Xenopus tropicalis: one gene and its partners. The protein of the gene in region 3 interacts with the protein of the main gene of each other region in a biochemical or structural test. Links are inferred from orthologs where the notes say so. Each region holds a gene or a part of one and is shown on either strand. Other genes may lie near its edges.

Region 1 (4,282 bases), on a different chromosome or scaffold from region 3:
CAGTGTGAGTGCCAGTCAGTGCCAGTGTGAGTGCCAGTCAGTATGAGTGCCAGGCTGTGCCAGGGTAAGTGCCAGTCAGTGTGAGTGCCAGTGTAAGTGCCAGTCAGTATGAGTGCCAGGCTGTGCCAGTGTGAGTGCCAGTCAGTGTGAGTGCCAGGGTAAGTGCCAGTGTGAGTGCCAGTGTAAGTGCCAGTCAGTGTGAGTGCCACGGTAAGTGCCAGTGTGAGTGCCAGTCAGTGTGAGTGCCAGTCAGTGTGAGTGCCAGTCAGTGTGAGTGCCAGGGTAAGTGCCAGTGTGAGTGCCAGTGTAAGTGCCAGTCAGTGTGAGTGCCAGGGTAAGTGCCAGTGTGAGTGCCAGTCAGTGTGAGTGCCAGGGTAAGTGCCAGTCAGTGTGAGTGCCAGTGTAAGTGCCAGTCAGTGTGAGTGCCAGGGTAAGTGCCAGTGTGAGTGCCAGTCAGTGTGAGTGCCAGGGTAAGTGCCAGTCAGTGTGAGTGCCAGTGTGAGTGCCAGTCAGTGTGAGTGCCAGGGTAAGTGCCAGTCAGTGTGAGTGCCAGTCAGTGTGAGTGCCAGGGTAAGTGCCAGTCAGTGTGAGTGCCAGGGTAAGTGCCAGTCAGTGTGAGTGCCAGTCAGTGTGAGTGTCAGTGTGGGTGCCAGTCAGTGTGAGTGTCAGTGTGGGTGCCAGTCAGTGTGAGTGTCAATGTGAGTGCCAGTATGAGTGTCAGTGTGAGTGCCAGGGTAAGTGCCAGTCAGTGTGAGTGCCAGGGTAAGTGCCAGTCAGTGTGAGTGCCAGTCAGTGTGAGTGTCAGTGTGGGTGCCAGTCAGTGTGAGTGTCAATGTGAGTGCCAGTATGAGTGTCAGTGTGAGTGCCAGGGTAAGTGCCAGTCAGTGTGAGTGCCAGGGTAAGTGCCAGGGTAAGTGCCAGTGTGAGTGCCAGTCAGTGTGAGTGCCAGGGTAAGTGCCAGTCAGTGTGAGTGCCAGTGTGGGTGCCAATCAGTGTGAGTGTCAGTGTGGGTGCCAGTCAGTGTGAGTGTCAATGTGAGTGCCAGTATGAGTGTCAGTGTGAGTGCCAGGGTAAGTGCCAGTCAGTGTGAGTGCCAGGGTAAGTGCCAGGGTAAGTGCCAGTGTGAGTGCCAGTCAGTGTGAGTGTCAGTCAGTGCCAGTGTGAGTGTCAGTCAGTGCCAGTGTGAGTGCCAGTCAGTGTGAGTGCCAGGGTAAGTGCCAGTCAGTGTGAGTGCCAGGGTAAGTGCCAGGGTAAGTGCCAGGCTGCTGGGCAATTAGCGAGTGGGAAAGAGTTCGGTGCGATTCTGTGGGTAGAGCCGCATTTCCCCTGAGCGCCCCTAGGGGGCCCCCGCTCCGCCTCTCTCCCCAGTCCCCGTATCCCGGCTCCCCCCTCTGCGCTGTGTCACTGGCGGAGGGCTCGGCCGTCGCTGCTCCCCTCGGCGGGGCCCCGTTGCATTGCAGCCTGAGGAGTTGGAGCGGGGAGGCAGGACAACTACTTTCCTTACATTGTTGGTGAGTTTGCAGCAAACTCCTCCGCCCGGGCCCCCGACCCCGCTGGATCCGACTCTCCCCGGGGCCCCCGGATCCCCTGCTCCCAGCCGGCCCATCGCTCTCCTGCACAGGATATCACTGCGGGGCCCCCCAGCCTCCTCTTCCCATCCCCAGGCGCTTGGCATGAGTTAGCCAGCCATGGACACCAAGCATTTCCTGCCGCTGGGTGAGTACTGGGTGCCAGGGTGCTGGGCTGTGGGTGGGGGGCACCTACTGCCGCATCTGTCTCTCTCCTGCTCATCCCACTGCCTCCCCTTGTGTTGTTGTTCCAGCCATTTAACCCCCACAATGCACTTGTAGAGTTCCATACCCCCCCCTTTGGCTGGTAGCCCCCCCAGCAGTGCCAAGCAGGTAGTGGGCACAAACACATGGGTACAAGTTATTGGGCAGCAATGCCAGGCTCCTTGCTCTTATGACTCCTGGGCTGCTGGGGCATGCTGGGAGTTGTAGTTTATAGCAGGTAGAAAAGTTCAGGGGGGGGGGTCCTGCCCTGTCACTACTACTACATAAAGTAGGAGGGGGCAGAGGGGAAATTGCTGCCCTCGGTGTTTATGATCCCGGGATGTATCGGTGTTATATAAGGGGGGGGTATTATACCGTAACTGTCCCTAAGGGCAACTTCCTATTGTATCAAGTGCCAGCGAATGGCTCTTAACCCCTTATCTGCCAAGGTGGCATCAGAGAGGTTAAACTATTCTTATGCAAATGGTAAAACTACCGTTCCCAGCATCCTCCTGTGGCCGGTTAATCAAAGGCTGTGCCACTCTTACTGCCAGGGGGGGGGGGGGGGGGGGGTAGCTGCACACCTTAGTAGACATGGCCCTCTGCTTTTAGACCCACTTCCCTGCCCCGAGCTGAGACGCACTGATTTATTTGATCGCAAGCATTTGGGACAAGGACCCATAATGCCTTCTGTGCCGTGACCCGTGAGTTCATTGGTGGAAGCTGAACCCTTAACCCTACTGATGCAGCCAAGGGCACGGAGCCATAATCTCCCCCCCCGTCAGTGCCCGTTTAGTGCCAACTCTGGGTCCTTCTGTGTTTCCGAGACATCGATTGAAGTATTTAATTAAATTCATGCCGACTGTACCGATTTCCGTTGCGCCATGCTGAATCTTACAGTCATAACCAAGTAGCCATGCTGATTGGATACTGCATACAGTATATGCTTATGGTTTTAAAGGGGGTCTGGCAGAGAGATTGCCCAAAAGGTGCCACTGGTGGCGGTTTCAATGGTGGTGGCGCTTGCCCGTTGGCAGGAAAATGCCCCTGATTGTGATTGATGGCACAATGTAAATACATACTGTTATTGCCTATGGGATAAGCCACACTGGTGGCACCACAACGCATGGGTATTCACACCGGTACTGTCTGTTTATTTAGTGACGGGCAATGCCAAGGGCACAAGTGACCTAATACCCCAGGACCCCTGCCCAGCGCAGCGGAGAATGAAATAAATAAAAGCTAAATTCCTTTGACGGGAAGGATCCGTGTCTCCCGTAAATAAAGTATTAATGCCCGCCGTTGGCACCAAGTCACTTCAGTTACCCGCAGCAACCAGTGTGCGGTTACCAGGCTGCTATTGGGAATGAACTGGGGGCAAACATTGCCCGACTGACTGTAATACCCCCCCTGTTGGCGCACCTGGTTCCCACGGGGTGCCAGTCGGTGCCCCCTCCTCGCCCTACAGTTTCCCACCAGATTTTCTCTTCTCCTTGAGAAGCTCTTGTCCCTCAAGTGTTTTGCTGGGCACCAGAATGACGTACAATTAATTAGCTTTGGGCCGGGTACCTTTGGGCTATAATTACACTGCCTAATTGGGGTGGGGGGTCACCGGTGCCCCAGCACTGATGGACACAGTAGGTGCCAGGGGTGGAGCCCTCCGTGTCTCCTGTTGGTGCTTTATTGGGACATTGGAGGGTACAGGTACCAGACTGGGCACTGGACTGGTTAAACAGGACCCTGTGCCAACCCAAGGCTCGGCGGGGCACAGGGCAGGAACAGGGGGGCGGGGCTAGTGCAGCTCCAGGGGGCAAGGTTCACGGGCAACTTGTTGTGCAGTAATTCCTACTGATAATGGTGCGGGGGATCCCATACAGAGCTCACCTACAGGTGCCCGGCGGGGTCATGTTTATATTATTACTTGCACCCCCCAGGGGCCCCGATAAAGCAATGGAGGCAGGGGCCACAGGAGCTTCATGTTTGATTGGTTCTGGCTTTGAGAAACAATGTAGCAGAAGTCAGTTCCCCCTCCTGGTCTGTCAGTCAGTTGCTTCTGCTACATTGTTTCAGTAGAAAGTAAACTGACAGTCAATAGCAATGACAGTTACACATAACTATAAACCCAGTGAGAATGAGGAATGAATGGGTATTGGGGAGTTGTATCAGGAGTCAGAACCAGCAGTGCAGGGAAGGGAAAGGGACAGACACAGTGACAGTTACACATAACTATAAACCCAGTGAGAATGAGGAATGAATGGATATTGGGGAGTTGTATCAGGAGTCAGAACCAGCAGTGCAGGGAAGGGAAAGGGACAGACACAGTGACAGTTACACATAACTATAAACCCAGTGAGAATGAGGAATGAATGGATATTGGGGAGTTGTATCAGGAGTCAGAACCAGCAGTGCAGGGAAGGGAAAGGGACAGACACAGTGACAGTTACACATAACTATAAACCCAGTGAGAATGAGGGATGAATGGGTATTGGGGAGTTGTATCAGGAGTCAGA
Region 2 (4,252 bases), on a different chromosome or scaffold from region 3:
AGTACAGGTACTGTTTTATTATTACAGAGAAAAGGGAAATCCATTTTAAAAATGAGAATTATTTGCTTATAATGTAGTCTATGGGAGATGGCCTTTCCGTAATTCGGAACTTTCTGGATAACGGGTTTCCGGATAAGTGAGCTTCAGGGGGGCTCTCTTTGGCCACAAAAAGTGGGCGTGTCCACAAAAAGCTATGGGTGCCACAAATCCTCCCTCTCCTGCCCGTCCAGCCAAAAACATCTTCTGCTTCCCCTGACCTCTGGGTCTATGAAGTGGTAGATGACTGTGCCAACAGAGAGATTGTGTAAGATCCAACCACAGTTATTGTTTTGTGCAAAAAAAGTTCAGAATATGACTCAATGTGATTAACCCTTCATCCCACATTACAGCGAGGGCCCAGCTGAGAGAAAGAGATCCATGTAAAGGTGGCCATACATATCAGTCCCTTAGATGATTCGGCAGCTTATCGGCCCATGTAGGGGCACAAACGACGGGCCTGCCCAACCGACATCTGGCCTAAAATCGGGCAGATATCGATCGGGCAGATTGAAAAATTTAGTCGGATCAGGGACTGCATCAGCTCGTTGATGCGAACCGACTGTGCCTATTACCGACCAGGGTCGGACTGGGGCAAAATCCCGGTGGGCCCCGACCCTAGTGGGCCACAGCGGCCCAGTCCGACCTTTGCCAGCGCTCCCTGCTACTGACTGTTCCTCCCCAACACGTTCAATTTATACGTGCTCGGGGAGGACGTCAGGCGGGGGCCCTGTGGGGGGGTTAGGGGGGCCCCTGGGGGGGGGTTAGGGGACGCGGCTGGGGCACCTGCAGGGTCCCTGGGGCGGGAGCCCCGGTGGGCCCTGCACCCCCCAGTCCGACCCTGTTACCGACGTTGTAATTCAATTGTTTGGCCCAAGGGCCAAACAACCGACTTAGCCTAAATTTACCTGATATCGCCCACCTGTAGGTGGGGATATCGGGAGAAGATCCGCTCGCTTGGCGACCTCCCCAAGTGAGCGGATCTTAACGTGTATGGGGATCTTTAGTCCTCTACCAGGAGTTGCATCCTGCCAGACAGGCTGTGTGTTCTAAATAGGATATGTATACTTATTTTTGCCATTTGGAATTTGTGAGGTGTGTAATAAAGGACAGTATACAGAGACAGTTATGTCAGCAGGGGTCCCAGTTCTTCCTTCCAACTCCTTGAGAATCTTGTCCCCCAGGAGAAGCGAAAGGCCGTCAGTTCCCAATGCAGCCTGCAGGTGGTGTACGGCGGCAGCCTTGCCGCACTGGAAGGATATGATACACAGACACAGAGGGAGGAGCTGGGTAGAACTAGATTTTTTCCCCTTTCCTCTCTGTCTGTATCCCTGACACACGGAGGGAAGAGAAGAAAGAGAGACAAACAGCCAGGAAACGTACAGTAACACACAGGCGGGATCTATACAAAGCCAACACTTCATTGCTCCTTCCACTGATGATTTTTTTGTACCTTGGAGGGGGGGTAAAAGCCTTGGGATTTTGGGGGGGAAGCTGAAAAGGACGAGCCTGCCCCCCCACCTGTTTTTTTTTTTCACTAGCCACATTTCCCACTGTCTTCGCCCCCCCACTTTTTTTTTTCTTTGTAAGTTCTCTGTTCCCCTTTCCGGGCAGCAGCAGCAGCAGCAGTAGGAGCAGCAGGAGCAGCAAGAAGATCAGAGGAGGAAGGGGGGGGTTTAAAGCCCCTGGGCCGGGTCTTCAGTGCAAAGAGGTGAGTTATCTCTAGTGCAGAACTGTACTGGGGCGGGGGCGGTGCAACTACACTGCGATATTGGAGAACTCTGTGCCCTGATCGCATGCGATCTCCTATGTAAACACTTCTCTCCTGCTGTAGAGGCCCACAGTGCATTCTTGTGTACAAGAGACAGCATTGGGCTGCCTGCAAGGTGTGTGGGTTTGAGGGGGTGTTGGTTCTCTCTTGCACACTCATGATCAGCAGCTTTCTATGCAGGGGCTGCCATCTCAAACCCACTTTTCCCAGTGGGGGGTCCCCAGATAAGTATAAGAAGTATGCCTTAGGGTGAAGACACACAGAGCTACTTAGTAGCAGCTACTTGCCATGGCTGCTAAACTCCCCTGCCATAGACAATACTGAGAATTGACTCTGCTAAAACACACGTAGAGACAATTATCAGTAAATGATCACCATTGTCTGTAGTAGCTCTGTGTAAAGCATTAAACGTGTCTTTTTTAGGGGCCCCTGTAGCCCTTGATTCCATGACCAACTCTTTATAAGTGTACAGTATAAGTGTTGCATAAAAGTTAGGGAAGTGTTGAGATGACCCCCCCTGGGGGATAGTTAAGGTTAATTTAGAGGTGCCTGCCACCCCCCTTCCTCCTGATATGTTACACTCCAGAGGGTGCTTGTCATTATAAGATCCTATAAGCTTCTTTGCCTCCAGTAAGCACATGCGGCCTGTGTACATAGGGCGACTGAGATCTGCCCGGCAAGGTTGTCTAAGGCAGGCTGGCTAGGAAATGGTTAAGCTCCATGCCCGAGCTCTCACTCTTCTGACCTGCAATACGGATTCTTCCAGTCTATAAAACCCCTACAGGCACATGGAACTCTCTGGCAGCGTTCGGCATGGAAACAAACTGAATTACCCGTATACATGCAGCCAGATAATCATATTATATTCCAGTTTCACCTAAACCCAGAGGATTTTCCCTTAGCTACATGCATTGGCGCTTTCTGCCCTACTGACCCTTTATTGTGCACAAAGCGACACACATTGCATGTATGTACGATACACATGTGCGCACTGAGAAAAGATCAGTACAGTCATTTAAGCGTTAAAAAGTCATGCCCGATTATTGGCAGGGGCAGTGTGAAGGCTTTATTGTACACATGAAACCCGCCATGTCTTCCCTGTTGCCTAAATTCTGCACCACGCCTCCCCTTTTTTCCATCTCATGCCCTGAAGCGCTGAGATGCCTGAATGTGTTCTGTTTAACCCCCACCCTTCATTGTTGCTCCTACAGGAGAACATTCACTTCTTTCAATCACGTGAAAATATATTTCTGAAGGGGTTGGTTTTTTTTTTGCAGGCGGAAAAAAAAAGTGCTCCTAGGAGCAATGACAGGTTTCCTGGGATCCAGGCCCAGGCGCCACACGTAGGCCCTGCACTTGTGCACAGTGTGGAGTTTGGTGGATGTGTGGGCCGCTTTGTGTGGTCTCCTGTACTATCCCCTGACTAACCTCTCTGTCCCTGCACATGTTGTGTAGCGGTCTGATATCGGTCAGCGCCATTGTGCCCTTTATTTAGCACTGTATTTCTTTGTAATACAATTTCTCTCACACACAGTTGTGTGACGGGTGCAACAAAGTGCTGTGTAATCTACCCCCCCCCCCCCATACACCTTTATCAATCAGATCTTGCATAGCCTATAATGCTCAGTATTTACTCTCAGCTACAGTCATTGTGTTCTACATGCCCCCGGCTATTGCGTAGACATTCTTATACCCTGTGGAATTTTCTAGTATGGTGCAAAAGGCTATTTTGTGTGGTAAATGTTAGTTATTTGTAACTGTGGGTTCTTCGGGCACCTTGGTGCAGTGCCTGTAGCCATAGGTTTACGTTTGTGAAATGGCTCTCTCTTTGTTGCTGGCTCTGTGTGTAGGTCATTTTTAGTGCGTAGCTGTCTTTCTGAACCCATGGGTTAGTCCGTCCTGCAGGTGGCCTTTGAAGTGGTGCTGGCGCTCTGTCATGCAGGCAGCTGTCGTGATTTGTGCGTTGTGTTTAGAGAGTGGGGGTGTGTGGCTTGGAGAGACTGCTGCAAGGTCCCATGGCCGTCCCAAAAACTGAAGCGGAAATAAGCCTTATCTGTGGGTGTGTATAAGGCACTGGCTGCCATGTGTGTTTATGTGAGGAACTGACAGGCCTAAGGAAGCACAAGTTCTTCACTGACTAAAAGAGCACCCGGTGTGGGCACCGTGACGCGCTGAGACATACTTTGTGTGACAGTGACAGCCGCAAAGGCCTTTACGTGTGTGTGTGTGTGAAGCAGCTAAATGATTGGTGATAATAAATAGAAAGTTTGTGTGAATCAGAGTTAACTTTATGGGAATGGAAAAAGATGCTGAGAGCCTAGTGTTTACAGGCCAGGTAAGCCCTGACTAGCCTGTAGCCCAGAAGGGCCCTAGGAGGGTAAAGCTTGGGGTCCATAAAAGTCCTGAGTGGTATATGTGTAAGCACAAGACCTGTATCACTATCTT
Region 3 (3,645 bases):
CCGATGAGAATTTCAAGAATTCTGGAAATATATTTTCCAATTGTGAAAGTAATGCCCCAATTCGCAACAACAGCAGCCCTTGTCAGGGATCTGGAATGCTGCATCTCAAAAAGGCAAGGCTGTTGCAGTCTTCAGAGGACTGGAATGCTGCAAAGAGGAGACGACTGTCGGATTCTGTTCCTGGCGTAAATGGCAAAAATGAAACGTTCTTGGCCGGCATGGTTGCAAACGCACCCAAAGGCAAGCAGGATAGTACATTACTGGCGTCTCTGCTTCAGTCTTTCAGCTCTAGACTCCAGAGCGTCGCTCTGTCACAACAACTTAAACAGAGTCTCGAAGAACAAGGCTTTTCTCTTGGCCAGGAGACTGTACACGAGGAGAAGAATAACCAGTGTTTGGGCCTGGCATCCAACCACCTTAAAACTTTGTTAAACAAAAGCAGATCAAAAGAGAAAGTAACAGATAGTAAAATGACTGCTAAAGCCTCAATTCAAGAAAAATCTTCACACTCTGGGCAAAGCAGCACGAAAGCAGGAGCTGCTGAGCCGATTTCATGCGCTGCAAGACTTCAGGCTGTTGCAAGTATGGTAGAGAAGAGGTCGAGTCCTACTGTCTCGCCTAAACCAAGTGTTGCATGTAGCCAGTTGGCATTGCTGCTTTCTAGCGAGGCTCACTTGCAACAATACTCCAGAGAGCATGCTGTAAAAGCACAAAGTGCTAGTCAGTTAGCAAGCGAAAGGCTAGCAGCAATGGCAAGATTAAAAGAGACCTCAGAGAAGGACCATGGTCATTTTCCTATGTCGACAAATTTGCCCACACCACTCAACAGCCCTGCAAGAACAACTATTTCCAATGGTATAAGTAATATTGGTAACATTTCTCCCTTTTCAAGTCCATTAAGTGTCCCTCATTCTCCACTTAAATCAGTAGGATATAAGACTCATTCAGAAAAAAATCACCTGAAGCCCTCTCCAAATAACAGCTTGCTGCTACATCTTCTTAAAAGCCAGAACGCTACAAATATGAACAAATGCAACCTTCAAAGCGAAAAGATTCCCGTGTTTGAAGAAAGTGCAACACCAACAACCACAGATGACTTTTCTGACAACAACCCTAGTTTTACAGAAGATGAAACCAGCGATGATGAAAGTAGTCACTCTAACTGTGCACCCATTGACTTGTCATTCAAAAACCGAGTAGATAAGCCAGAGGTGTTAAATACGGCTTCCATAGACAACTTAACAGAATCCTTGCTTAAAAACTGGGATCCAAAAGTTGAAGGACTTGTCATCAACAAAGATAATAACAGAGACCCTTCATTGGACTCCACGTTAAAACCACATCAGAAGGTGACCCTGTTACAGTTACTACTTGGGCATAAGGCAGATGAAAATCCCGAAAAGATGGAAGATCTTCAGGGTTCACAGAAACGTTCTGATCTGACAAAGTTCAACTTGCCAATTCAACGACATGGATCTGAAAACACTCATGTACATAATTCTGCTTCATTAAATACATTACCTATAAACAATAGTTTGAAATCGGATTCCCCTGTTAACCTGAGCCAGCCTTTTCCACCAAAAAATACGTTCACATCTTACATAAGTAACATTCAGTCAGAAAGACATGTGAATGCGGCCTCAAAACATTTGATAGAGCTGACGAGGAACAAATCATTTCATAACCCCACCCCAGTAGTAAACGAGAGTGCACAATGTAATGCTGCTTTCAGTGCCAGTAAACTTCTACAGAATTTAGCTCAATGCGGGCTGCAAACAGCTGCACCCGATGAGCAAAAAGTGCAAAAAACAGTCAGTGCACCTAATGGTAAAACTCTAGGACTGATCGACAGGTTAAGTAGCCCCCTGATTACCAATCAATCTCATGCCTTTGAGGAGGACACATCTTTTAGTAGCCCACCTACTCCATCAGACTCCAGATTTCCTGGCTCAGAGATTGAAAACCTTTTAGAAAGACGTACTGTTTTACAGCTTCTTCTCGGAACACCAAATAAGGGGAAACTTGAAAAGAGTCCAAATATCACAATCAAAGATGAAAATCAACAAGACAGGGTAGAAAAAAATGCAAGTGAACACATAGTATCTTTTAAAATCAAAAGCGAGCCTGAGGACGCCTACAGCACACAGCATTTAAGAGACACTGGAATTCCTAGTCCACTGGCAATGTCTTTTCATGGTTTTTCCAGATCAACTCCAGAGGGCATGAAATCTCCAAACCTCACTCCACAGGATTTTTCCGTTTCCAGAAATGGGCTACTAAGCCGCTTGCTTACACAGAACCACAATGGGTATGAAATTAGTGACCCAGATTTTACCAACAGAAATGGTGAATCCAGACAAACAGAAACAAAAATCCACTGCACTGTTCCAAAAAAGAGAAAAATGCACCAACATGAGCCTTTAGAAAGTCAAGTAAAACTAGCAAAACTCAGTCCTTCTGAAAGTGGGCACTATTATTCTCCACCGCCATTGAGTGGGCCAATGTTTCTTCAGGATGAAACATATAGTAACAAAAGTGGCATGGACCCTCGGTGCAATTTAACTCAGAACTCCTTAAACGAAGGAAAACATTTGGGTTGGTCAAGGGAAAGCAAAGGTTTTAATGTGCTGAAACAATTGTTACTTTCAGAGAATTGTGTCAGAGATTTGTCTCAGCATAGGAATAACATATTGGTGGATGATATGGTAAAGGGGAACAGAAGTCACCTTGCTGGCAGTTCTGATTTTGTAACACCTCCATTAAATGTGCATATGGGGAAAATGTCCAACCAAACAAACAGTTTAGGTCAAATGACATTTCAGTGTCCATCCACTTTAAAGAATTCTCCTCACCCACCTTCAGACAGTTTGATACATAAAACATCTCGGACTGAATCTGGACAAATCAATATGTGCCCTGTTCCTAATGACAAAGGCCCAATTAAATGGGTTATCACAGGTATGGAAAAGAATGATGTTGGAAAGGATTCCCCAAGGTTGACCAAAACCAACCCAATATTGTACTACATGCTGCAGAAAGGAGCACATTCTGCTGGAGGCCAGGAGCTGCGAGATCGAGGCAGTTGGACTGCGTCCTTACTAGGCAATGCCACAGAAATGACATTAAAAAGAGAGATGGTCAATTGTAGAGGAACCACCCCAAACGGCAGTGGTATGATGAAAACAACCACTCCTGTTGTAAATAAGACATTGCATAATTCCAGTGGTAACAAGTATGGACTTCTTGATATACTGGCAATTAAGAAAGAGCCTGAATAATACAACAGATTTGAATAGCCAGGTTGTTAATAAACCCAAAAAGAATGCATCATTTTTAGAGTATCAGGCATGAAGACAAGAGATATAAAGCATGATCTTCTTGACATGTTTTTCATCTCATATATTTTGGTTGGTTATATTGCTTGTGGCTATAGCTTATTTGAAAAATGTACAGATTTTGCTATTATGGTTTCTACATTTTTTTTGGTTCTGTGATATTTTTTTTTTTTCCTTTAGGGTATTTTATTCCCACTGCTTGGGAAAAAAATGATGTTATAAATTATAAAAGACAAATGTGCTGTTGATGGCTGGTTTCCAATATTTGCCTTACATGTTCGTCTTTTAATAGTTACACAATAACTTGTCC

Evidence for each region.
Region 1: the proteins of nrip1 (region 3) and rxra form a complex in vitro, tested with the Homo sapiens proteins (2 studies listed by BioGRID). The link is inferred for Xenopus tropicalis from reciprocal best matches to the Homo sapiens genes NRIP1 and RXRA.
Region 2: the proteins of nrip1 (region 3) and thra form a complex in vitro, tested with the Homo sapiens proteins (4 studies listed by BioGRID). The link is inferred for Xenopus tropicalis from reciprocal best matches to the Homo sapiens genes NRIP1 and THRA.

What each region holds. Positions count from the first base shown.
Region 1 is NC_030684.2:8,063,491-8,067,772, reverse strand, and holds the start of rxra (retinoic acid receptor RXR-alpha), read left to right. Parts: upstream 1-1,375; 5' UTR 1,376-1,688; coding exon 1,689-1,716; intron 1,717-4,282. UniProt on the Homo sapiens protein: Receptor for retinoic acid that acts as a transcription factor.
Region 2 is NC_030686.2:9,187,745-9,191,996, reverse strand, and holds the start of thra (thyroid hormone receptor alpha), read left to right. Parts: upstream 1-1,345; 5' UTR 1,346-1,747; intron 1,748-4,252.
Region 3 is NC_030678.2:26,792,972-26,796,616, reverse strand, and holds part of nrip1 (nuclear receptor-interacting protein 1), read left to right. Parts: coding exon 1-3,278; 3' UTR 3,279-3,645. UniProt on the Homo sapiens protein: Modulates transcriptional activation by steroid receptors such as NR3C1, NR3C2 and ESR1. Also modulates transcriptional repression by nuclear hormone receptors.